Linked DNA regions of Rattus norvegicus. The protein of the gene in region 1 binds, or shares a complex with, the protein of each later gene. Links are inferred from orthologs where the notes say so. Each region holds a gene or a part of one and is shown on either strand. Other genes may lie near its edges.

The links. The genes of interacting proteins can lie anywhere in the genome.
Region 2: Capzb (region 1) and Capza3 share a complex: the UniProt entries of both Homo sapiens proteins name them as parts of the WASH complex. The link is inferred for Rattus norvegicus from reciprocal best matches to the Homo sapiens genes CAPZB and CAPZA3.

The regions. Positions count from the first base shown.
Region 1 is NC_086023.1:156,716,450-156,722,928, reverse strand, and holds the start of Capzb (F-actin-capping protein subunit beta), read right to left. Parts: upstream 3,927-6,479; coding exon 3,924-3,926; intron 3,868-3,923; exon of another isoform or gene 2,830-3,867; coding exon of another isoform or gene 2,737-2,829; intron 1-2,736. UniProt on the Homo sapiens protein: F-actin-capping proteins bind in a Ca(2+)-independent manner to the fast growing ends of actin filaments (barbed end) thereby blocking the exchange of subunits at these ends.
Region 2 is NC_086022.1:174,657,935-174,663,088, reverse strand, and holds Capza3 (F-actin-capping protein subunit alpha-3), read right to left. Parts: upstream 2,644-5,154; 5' UTR 2,541-2,643; coding exon 1,641-2,540; 3' UTR 1,430-1,640; downstream 1-1,429. Other genes in the region: Plcz1 (1-phosphatidylinositol 4,5-bisphosphate phosphodiesterase zeta-1), read left to right, coding at 3,558-3,589, 4,394-4,517. UniProt on the Homo sapiens protein: F-actin-capping proteins bind in a Ca(2+)-independent manner to the fast growing ends of actin filaments (barbed end) thereby blocking the exchange of subunits at these ends.

The sequences.
Region 1 (6,479 bases):
AGAGCGGGGTTGGGGATTTAGCTCAGTGGTAGAGCGCTTGCCTAGCAAACGCAAGGCCCTGGGTTCGGTCCCCAGCTCTGAAAAAAAGAAAAAGGAAAAAAAAAAAAAAAAAGAAAAGAAAAAGGAAAAGCCAAGAGCACAGAACCCAGCTCAGGCCACAATGTCCCCTTCCATTTCCTCTACAGTGCATGCTTATGACCCTGGCACTGACAGTAAATACTGTCCCCCTTATCATTAGGGGAGAGTGACAAGGTGTCTCTCCCACCCTGTTGCTCAGGTTGGACCTGAACTTCTGAGTAGCCAGAGTCATAGGAGTGTGACACTGCCTGACTTTCCAAGCTCTGTTGTAGGCTCCCTAACAGTGGAAGCCAGAGGCCCACATCGTGTCTGCCTTGCTCTCTGCTACTCCTCAGCACACAGCAGCTCATGATGCACACATCTAAGCAGTGATGCCTACAGCTCCAGATCGGTGCCTAGTAAGTGCTCTACAATAAGCACTTCCCGCTCTGGCAAGCAAGGCTCTGAGCTGTCAGGGCCCTTGCCCTGTGTCCTCCCTCCTCCTCCATAGAATGTAACAGTATAGCACTTCCAAATTATAAATAGATCTACCTTCAAAGGCACGTCTGTCATTTTCCCAATCTTAAACTAATAATCACGGGCTACTTATCAAAAGGAGACTGGCTGCGTTTACTTGAACAGAACAAGCATACACAAGGTCTCTAAGTCCAACTACACAGGAAGTTGTTTAAAGTTATACTGTTTGCTTATTTATTTACTTATTGGGGGAAGGGAGACAGGACTCTGTGAGTATGCTGGTTAGAGGAAGACTTGGTTCTACATATGGGTTCTAGGAATTGAACTCTGCTCCCCTAGCTTGGCAGCAGTCACCTTTAACCCCTGAGCATCTCTCCGGATCTTATTCACAGGAGGAGCCCACCAAGATACATTGCAGTCTACTCCATTTCCCCTTTTAACAATAGGACCTCTCCTACCAGCTCTTGTCATCAGTGCCATCTGTGAGCAACAGGTCCTAAGGAGCCTCCTTGGCCTCTCACTGTCCCAGCCCCACCACTGAGCACCAGCATCTTAATGCTCAGAATAATAACCTCAAAGTCAGAAGCCAGAGCTCTGTGGTGCGTTGACACTGTAAAGCACTTAGGGACAGTCGTAAGACTGCCTGCTGAGGGGATGTAAATAAACCCCATTTGCCTATGCACTCTTATCGGGACAGTGGACTTGTCTCCAAGAACAACCGTGGACTCCACTCCAAGTCAAATGCATTTAAAGTCTCTCCCCTCAGTGGGCACCCTGGAGCTGGCTAGCCACTTGCTCTACCACCAAGCCCGCTGCAAACCAACCCATGGTTGTCTTCATTATCTACGATGCAGCCCCATTCCACCACTTCTGGTTTGTCCAAACTACCCACACCAAGGCATCGGACTGTTCTAGCATAGTATGAACCTGACTATAAGGCAGTCAGAAACCACTCAGGGGACTAGGATACTTGAAAAACAAGTTCATGAGAAGGAGTGTCAACCTCCGAGTGGCTGCGCTCATAGACACATCCCAGATCACACCAAGCAATCTCCTGGTTTTCACTGAAACAGGGTCTCACTCTCAGTGTTGCCCGAGATGGCCTTGAATGCCTTAAACAGCTGAGATTACAGGTATGTGGCGCCAGGCCCAGCCTCCCCAGTCAAATGGCTCAGAGCTAGGCACTGTTCTAGGACCAGATAGACAGGGACAGAAAACACAAGGCCACAATCTCTGTCCCCAGAGAGCCGGGATCAGGTGCACAGGCTATACTACTGTCTCCCAATGGCGGTCTCCTAACAGGGGATCCACCCACAGTTTGCAGGGATGAGTGCTTGCCCTCCGCGGCCGTGCCCAAGCATCCCGTCATTATGGTTCTTGCAGAGTGTCATTATATCAGATATACACAGCATACAAGGAAGATGGCTGCCTGGAGGCTGCTTGCTGGGCATGCTTTCACTGCCCAAGAGTCTCGCACAGACTGAACAACATTTTGAGTCAGTTACAATGAATGCTCCAGCTTTTCTTTACCCTGTCAAACGGAGAAAGCAAAGGCCTAGAGGACTCTGGGGGACTAAGTCCCATCTGGTCACCCTCTCCTGGCACCCTCTCCTATTTCCGTGCTGGGGGCACACATAGAAAACTTCAGTCTACTTTGAAGAATCTCACCCAAAACTGTCCTGGACAAGTCCTTCCCCGTGCAGACTAAGATCAGGGTTTCAGACTCCCAGGCCAGTTTTCAGCCAAGAGCAACAGTATGAAAAACAGTCTTTGCCTATGCTTTTAAATCGATATATAGAAAGTTTATTAGCCAATCAGATTTAGTCACCCCCAACTCAATGGCTGCACCCTGAATTAAACAAGGAACAGGGCTCCTCAAAACCATCTAGGGTCCAAAATCCACTCCTACTGGAGGGGAGCCCTCCGCAAGGCTGTGATGTTCTGCATGAAGCAGGTGGATGGCCTTCCCTCTCAGTCTACCTTACAAGGCTTCCTTGACCACGTGAGGTAGCTCTCTGGCCCTTCCACCTAGAAGGTGGGCCTGCTCTGCAGGTATCCAGATGGATTAGGGGGTGCAGGGATATGGGGGAGGGGGGGAACGACACACCTAGGGCTCCTCAAATAAGTTATGAGCATAGAGGCCTGACTTCATTACCAAAACAAACACCATGAGTAGAGTGAGGTAGTTCTCGGGCCGCTCACCTGATCAGCGGCACCTCCATAATCAGCAGTTCCAACCCTTACAAGCTGACAGTTCAGGGGGAAAGGAAGGCTGCGCCTGCTAGGATGCATCATGTCCAGGCTGAAGGATGGGCTGCTGAGCTTGGTGTCCCCCAGCCCCAAGGCTGTGGCCTCACAAGAGCGATTGTGAGTTCACCCCTGTCCACTTGGCTTACCCACCGTCAGCACTCTGCTCCCCGACTCAGGCAGGGCACCCCTAAATACGCGCTGTATTAGCTGCTCTAGGGCCTCCCAAGGGAAATGCCCTGCTCTGCCTTCCGGGCACACAGATGCCGCCCTTCTCTCCCTTGCTCGCTTGTTCACTCACACCGAACCTAAGCGGCCTCCCCAGAAAGGGGCAAGCCTAGGAAAGGCACAGCACCCGGACTACCCCCACCCTGGTTGGGGCTCTCCCCCGCTCACCAGAGGCTGCCAAGGAAGAGCCTCCTAGGAACAGGGGAGGGGACACCTGGGTTAGGAGCAGGACACCGAGCAAGCAGGGTCTAGATGGGAGGGTGAGGGTAAGAGCAGCGCAGGGCTGACGCAGGCTAGGTTTAAGTCGTGAGAAGTCGGGGGAAGGGGACCGCTAGGGCCGGGGGTGGGGGGGAGCTGGGGGTAGGGAGGTGCAGGAGGGGAACACAGTCGGAATAGAGAGGGCAGACTTGAGGACCACGGAGAGGAGAGTCCATCAGGGTGGAGGAAACAAACCTAGGCTGAGTTCACTGGAAAGGGATCGTCGAGGCGCAGGCTGGGGCCATGGAGAGAAGAGTTTGGGGAAAGGGGCCTAGACTGGGCCACAGGAGTGAAAACCACGGTCCTAGCTTGGGCCCTGGGACCGAGGCAGGGGCCCAAGTTCAGCCCATGGGATGAAGGCCTGCGAGAAGGGTGCTTGGAGGGAAGGAAGGTCTAGCCTGGGATAAGCGAGACTAGTCTGGACATGCGGGGGAAGAACTCGGCTTCACATGGAGCCCAAGGCGAGGTCATAAGCTATAAGGACCTCCCGCCGCCCACTCAGGACCCGAAGAGTGGCGTCTGCCTAAGGTCCCGGACCCCGCCCCTCCCCCACCCCGGATCCCCACCCTCCCCGGGCCGGCGGGTCGGCGAGAGAGTGGACGCAAGCTCCCGCAGTGAGGGGGTCCCGGGATAGAGCCATGAGGGGGTCTCTTTACCATGGTGGCGGCGGCGGCGACGGTCCCAGTCCCGGCGTCTGTGGCTCTCCCCCCCGCAGCAGGGCCCGGCGCTTCCACTTCCCCGGGTGCCCAAGAGTGAACATCCGGGTCAGCGCCCCCCTCCCCCTCCCCCCCGCGCCGGGCAGCCACCACCTTCCTCCCCGCCCCGGCCATCCCGGCCCGCCCCCCAGCCGCCAGCTCGCGACCAATGAGCGTGCGGGGCCGCAGCGATCGCCAAGTATGGAGCGCCGCGCGGGAGGCGGGGACGGGGGCGGACCCTGCGGTCGGGTGGGCGTGTCCTGTAGAGGGAGGGGCGGGCCAGGCGCAACGGTCCTGCGCGACCAGGGCTGCGGTGTTCCGGGGGCACAGCGGCTGCTTGTGTCTCTCCTCTGACTGTCAGCCTCGCTTCTTGCAGCTGCAGGCCGCGGGGTAGCTGAGGGTGGAGCGGTTCACTGGTTCCCCTGAGCAGAGGATGCGGAAGGCGCTGAAACTAGGAAGGGACCGGCCCTCCTCGCCCCACCCGGACCCGGAACTGGCGCACTGGACGAGGCCCGGCCCCCAAAGAGCGAGGAGAACCTGCAGGGGGACCTGGCTCAGCCGCCCCTGTTGCTGAACACCAGCTATCACGACCAGGCGGGCTGCCTTTAGGTACCAAAAGATGACAGGTGGATAAGCCATAAGGATCTCCTGCCCGCACTTCATAGCTACCAGAGTAGTTGTAGGAAGGCAAGGGGGTAAAATGATTAGAACATTTGGATTCAATAAATGCTGGCTGTTCCATATACTTTTTTTTTTTTTACATCATCTGCAGAGAATCAGCCCTCTTCCCTAATGAGTCGCTCTCTCGAACCATATAGTGACTCAGAAATCCCTTTGTTTTCAGGTCTGAAGATTGAACATAGAGTCTCAGGCATACTAGGCTAATGCTCTTCCATTGAATCGCAGCCCCAACCAAAAATTGGCTGTTCAAAAGAGTAAATTTTGTTTTGTTATCTGAAGGAACTCAAGAGACCTAGAGTTGCACATTTTGCTTATAATAATCCCCTATACAGCTTGCTCCCCCCACCCCCGTTTAGAGTCATATCAGGTCATGAGAAGGGGTCATAGAACTTCATCTGAGGCAAACTGTGCCCAAGGCCTCTGAGCATGATCATAGTCAAGTGAAAGCTTGCAGGGACAGCCACCAGCAGAGAAAGCATCCAGGTAAGTCCCTCAAGAATGACACAGACTGGAATTACAGGAGTTCAGAGAAGGGAGTGGCGCTTAGAAAGTCATTATGCCGGAAGTATTTATTGTGTAGCTATTGGCCAAGCACTATGTAGGCAGCCTGTAGAGATTACAGCTATGAGCAAAATAGCCCATGCTGGCATAGAGCTTGTGGGTGAGATTTCACTTCCAGGAATAGAGAGAGCCTTCTGCATGCTGGGTAAGCACCTCTGCCCTTGAGTTAGGGCCTCTTCGAGCTTGAAACCTGGCTGGAGACAGTTAACCTTTCTAGTAACGTGTTGGGGCTGAGATGTGGAAAACCAGAGTGGATAGAGCAGGTAGACAGACAAGCACTGTGTGGAGAGAATTTGGAGCATGGTTCAAGCGGGCTTTAACTCAGGAAGTAATGTTTGATCAGACAGCTGAAGGTGGGTGTGGAGCAGACCGTGTGTCTATCGTCAGTCAGCACACAGGACAGTGACAGCAGAGATCCCTGTGTTTCCACAGAAGCCACTGAGGCCAGCCTGAATTCTGTGTGGACAGCAACAAGCTCTGACCCGGGTCCCCACACTGCAGTGAGCCTGCTGTGTGCTGGATGACAAGGTGTCGAGGGAGAGCCTCAGAGAGCTATTTGTGTGTCCCAGACAGTTATTTCGATGTCAGAGGAACAATACCTGAGGTCACCCTCTGGTTTCCACACACAGGCATTCCTGCATGTAAACAGACAGAAAACACCTATATGCGCACAGGAATGTTTTTAAAGCACTCATATTGGGGCTAGAGAGGTGCACTGTGGGTAAAGTGCTAACTACTTGCATAAGGACATTTCGGATCGACAGCATGGGAAAGCCAGGCTCACATGTGCACTACTTGTAATTCCTGATGCTGTGTGAAAGACAGGAGGATCTTGGGCTTGGTAACCAGCCAGCCTAGCCAAATGGCAAACTTCAGATCCAGTGAGAAGGCCTTTGGTGGCATATGCCTATAATCTCAGCACTCGGAAGGCAGAGACAGGAGGATCTCTGGGAGTTCAAGGCCAGCCTACTCTACATAGCAAGCTACAGGAGAGCCAGGACTGTAGAGAGAGAAAACAAATACAGTGAGAGACGCTGTGTCAGAAAAGTAAGGTGGATCGAGGTGTAAGATACTGGGTTTTAGACTCAGGACAAGGCGCTGAGGTGCATATTTTACATACCAAAGCAGGCCTGGCCTTCAGGTTCTCCCAGCATCCCTCAGTCCCTATCTGTCATATCCTGCCCTCTACCCTGAACTTTCCAGCCCAGAAGCTCTTCCCTATATAATCCAGACATTTTGGTCTCCCCTCCCCCTTTCCTTCTCTCTTCTCTCCCT
Region 2 (5,154 bases), on another chromosome or scaffold:
CAAATAGTGGCATCAGTTGAAAACTAAGTATTTAAAACTGGCCCTTTGCCATATGATGGGATCATCTCATCCCATCTTCAAATCATCCAGATAGATGGTGTATAGAGTATGTCCTTTAATCATCTGCAGCAGCCACTGTACATGCTAATCTGAAATGTTGTCCCTAAGCTGGTGGCCTCAGAGGTCTCCAGGGGGTCATGAGTGTATAGCTTTTATGAGCGGGAGTAGCAAACTTATAAAAGAGATTCTGGAGAACTGCTTTGCTTACTTTCAAGGTGTGCTGTGTAAAAAGGAACATTGCCCATGGGGAAGCAAATATTGTCTCAGCTTGCATCTCGGTCTTGGATGTTCCAGGGTCAGACTGGTGAGCGCTAATGTTTTAGTATCAGCTACTCATTTAATGGTAATATTGGTTTATTTTATTTTATTTATTTCATGTTGTGTGAATGGAGTTTGGGGCAGGGGGATTTCTGGGGGTCACAGGACAACTTGTGGGTGTCGATTTTTTCCCACCATGTGTGTTCTTGATGGAGCTCAAGTTTAGAAATGGTAGCAGGGGACTTTACAACATGCCATCTCCCAGACACACACTTCACAGTATTTTACTGTAGCAGCCTGAGCACATCAAGATGTTTTATGTCTTGATGATTGAGCAACTTGAGACCTCTTATATTTTTAATGTACAAAGGGAATAATGCTAGAACCAGGCAGATGATAAAGTATTGTTTGTAAAACATTAGTATGAAGTTTGCAACGAAGCAAGCATTACACAGGTTTGTAGGGATGACTTTACATTGACTCAGCTACACAGGGTTTCTAGATCCTGCTATTCTAGAAGCCCAGAGATTCACAATCCCACACCCTCCTTAGGAGGGGCACAGGAGGGATCAGAAAGGAGGTAGAAGCAATTTTACTAATCCTCCTCATTTTTATTATATGTGTCTAAGTGTTTTGCTTGTATGTGTAGTCAGTGCTGTGTTCTCTATAACCCTGTGAGCTCTGGGACTGTGTGGGTGCTGAGAATTAAACCTACCTCCTATGGTTGGATAGCCAGTGCTCTTAACTACTGCGTCACCTCTCTAGTACCATGACTGAGAGATTTGGTATTAGCTGGTTTTCATAGAATATCCAAACCCAATGTCATTTATTAAGGTTCATTCAATCCTGGTTGTTCTCAAACTGAATAGAGTAAAGTGAAGTAACATTTGAAGAGTGATGTGCACACCTACCCAGTTCCAAAGAGAGACTGAATTCACACACACGCAGAGACGCAGGCATACAGGTGCAGAGAGACACACAGAGTACAACCCCCCAACACACACACCACTACACACAGGCACACAAACACAGCAGTCATGTAGACTCCATCACGGCCACCTCCCCACTCTCGAATTATTTTAGGCTCTAATAAAAACCTCTGAGTTTGTTGTGACAGTTAACATTATGAAATGTATTTTTACCCTTTTTGCCATGTTGGTGAATACTGACTGGATAACATGATTTCTTGTTCTTCCCCCTCTTCAAACTGGTATAGGCTAAAGACAGGCTTAGTACTAGTCCAAGAGCTTCTCAGCACTATCTAAGCACTGACTTCCCAGAAAGCACTTTGGCTTGAGACGATAATGTGGAGCAGCAACCTTTTATATTATCCAGTTGCACAGCACACTCCTGGAGTAAATAACGTATCCTAATTTGGGGTACATCACCAGATTCAAGTCAGAGAGGATCCGTTGCCAGTCAATCAAAGTGCGTGTCACTGGAAGATCCCTCCGTAATATTTTCCTCAGGGCTTCATTAGACAACTCCTGTAGTTCTTCTATTACAGCAGCTTGAAACTTATTTTCTTGTTCTTCCACAAGCCTTGCGAAACTGAGAGCCAACTGGGCTTGGTTGACCACCTCCAAGCTCTCCTTGAGGTCCTTGGAGACTTCAACATGAAGGTTGACACATCTGAAGTAGTGAGCTTGCACAAAAATCCTTCCTGTCACTTGGGTTAGAAACGGGTTTACCTGGAAGATCCACTTAGACTTCCAAAGACCATTCCAACACTCTCCATTGTCATAGCTGTGGTCTTCAATGCAAGCTATTAAGAACTCCTTGTTTTTGACTGTTTTCCTCAGCACGTTGCAGTTGCCGTTTGGGTAGTGATCGTTCACGTAGAGTTTTAAGGCACACATAACAACAGATCTCAGGTACTCGGTCTCATTCCGAATGATTCCGTGGCTTTGGATGTCTCTCAGCTGATTCTGGAGCAGGTCAAACCTGAAAGAAAGTTTGCTCTGGTAGTCAAAGAACCGGAAGTCACCCATCACATTGTGGTGAGACAAGAGGACTGGATTGCCATCGATGCAGAGTGGGACACAGTATTTTTGGCAGTGCTGATGACCTGCGCACTCACCCTGGTGGTGCATGAGCTTCTCATCTCGGATAAGCAGACAGAGATCATCAAAGGCATTCACGAATTCCCCAGGAGGAGCCTGGATTAAGAGTCTGTGGATGACCTTTTCTTTGTCTTGCCTACTTAAGACGCTGAGTGACATGTCTAGTTTCAGGAGAAGCAAAGCTTCTGAAGTGAAGGGTGTTCACAGGGTGAGAAGAGGATCCATGGGATATCTTGCCCATTCAAGGTGTTAATCATTCAAGCTTTAGAGCAGTATGTAGGACCATGAAGAAGGGCAGTCAGTCAAGCTCTGCATATCCTGGTGAAGTCACAGAGAAGCATGGAACTTGTAGTGATGTCACAATTGAGTGCTCAGAACCAAAGAAGAAAATGATAGTCACCTGACGGTATGGGGTTCAGCCAAGAAGCTATAGCAACTGTGAAGGTTTTAAGAACTTAGCTTCTGGACAAGTCTTCTTCATAAGCGGTATGTGTTTTTCTGTGTCTGTTACGTGTTGTTGGCAGTCTGCAGAAGTTGCCTGGGGTTTGAACTGACTTAGCGTTGGATAGTCTGTGGTCTCTTCAACTGTCATATGGTACTGATCTCCACTCAGGCCCTTAGAATAGCTGCCCCACCTTCAGGGTAAACATTGTGATGAAAGGCTTGAGGGTTAGAAACAAAATAAAATGAAGATACTATGAAGGCTGAGAAATCACCAAGCTTGACAACCATAGTTTGGTTCCCAGGACCCAGATGATGATAGGAGAGACAGGACTCCTATAAATTGTTCTCTGACCTCAATGCACCATTACAAAAAGGGCACACACACACACACACACACACACACACACACACACACACACACACACACAGAGTTTATTGAAAATGTGGGATTAGAAACTCTCAGAACATAAGCAGTCAAGTATTTTAGGCAGGGACCACATCTTTCATGTTCCCCATGCCCTCTTTTTGTGTTATGTGTGTCTGCTTTGAGCACAGGCAGATCTGCAAGAGCAAAGGCAACAGGCTGTGTGTTCTCTGCCTTTTCCCTAGAAAGGAGGCAGCGGTGAGAACAGCTGATGACTATCGTAAAAAGGCAGAGTTACTTCTAAGATTAAGTGACACCTTAGACGAAGAGCCCTCTATGGGAGGACACGCGACCCAGATCATGAAATCATGGAGAGCCATTATGAGCTCGCAGAAGCAAGATATCCATTCTGAAGGTCTCTCTGTCTTGTTTCCCCCCTTGCTTTGTTCCTTTCTCTTCATGTGACTCTCCCTCTTTTCACAGAGTCCTGAACTCATGTCTGCCATTTAAGTATGAACCTTCTGCTTGTTTTCACAGTCCTAAGCCTTTCTGGGTTTCCTTAGACTACTGTATTTTACCGTTGTTCTTGTTATGATAAGAAAAATGCATTTTCCATATTGAGCCATAGCCATTAAGGTTAAGAATTACTCATTAGTTTTAACAACTTAAGATTGAGCGGAAATTGGAGCAACTATCACCCGTAGGACATTTGACTCGCATAGTAATTACACCAGTCAGAGTCACTACTGAACGCACAGTAACCTATGTTTAATAATGTTTTATGAATGTATCCAATGCTCTGACTTCTGTAAGATTAAGTGTTGATTTTCTCATCTTTCTTGATGAGAGAGGTCAGGTGGGTGAGAGAATCTCGGAGTCCATGAGCTCTCAGGATCAGACTTTCAGACAAATAGTGTATAATAATGGAATAATGAATTTCCCAAGTGCTGACTTTATTTCTCCATTTTTTTAAAAAACAGATGCTATCCTGTATTTTAACTGGGTTATGCCTTTTTATATCTCTCACACCTTTCCTGTAGTTGAAAAAGCTAAACTATACTTTATCATAAATAGTATTTATTTACAACTGTCTGAGCATAGGGTAGATGAACCATTAAGGCCACGGACAAAATATTTCTTTAAGGATTTTTAAATCCCTCAGTGAGTGACTTTGAGAATTTCCTTAACTCTCTGTGCTTCGTACATGGTTTATGTCAAAGATTCAGGATTATTTTAGAGGTGGAAAAATCAGCGCTGGAATTACTCACAAACTGCTCGAGAAACTTGATTTCCCATGCCATTTTGCTCATGTGAAACGTATTTTTAAGGTGAGATGACACCCTCTCCCCACTTGTTCCTCTCTATAGTTTATGGCAGTGTAAGTAGACATTAGTAGATACTTCAGTACTTGAGAAAATACACATGGAGCCGGAGAGATGACCCACTGGTTAGGAGCACTGACTCCTCTTATAGAGGCCCTGTGTGTAGTTCCCAGCATGCACTTGGTACCTCACAACTGCCTGTGACTCTAGCTCTAAAGAACCCAGTGCCTGGTCTGACCTATTCCAGCTCCCTGAAGTACATGGCGCACATATGCCCTCAGATACATGAACCTAAGTCAGTGTTGGAAAATACATGCAGAAAAAAAACAGAATAAACTAATGGCTGTTACAGTTTGAAATAATGCCAGGTTATTGGCTTGGAACAATTTCCAGAGTATATAGAAATGGTCACACCAGATCTGGGATAAAGGTCAACATTAGGACTGTCTGAACTGGGATTAAATGTAAAAAGTGAAAGGTCGTACTTCATCTTGATGGCATGGGAGAAGTAAAAAGCTCCAATGAACAGAGTAATGGAGGCGGGCACAAAAGGTGTTGTGACCGAATACTACACTCGTAATCCTAGCGTTTGGGGGCCTGAGGGGGCAGAGGAAGAGCTCAGGGCGAGTTTCAGCTATGCTTT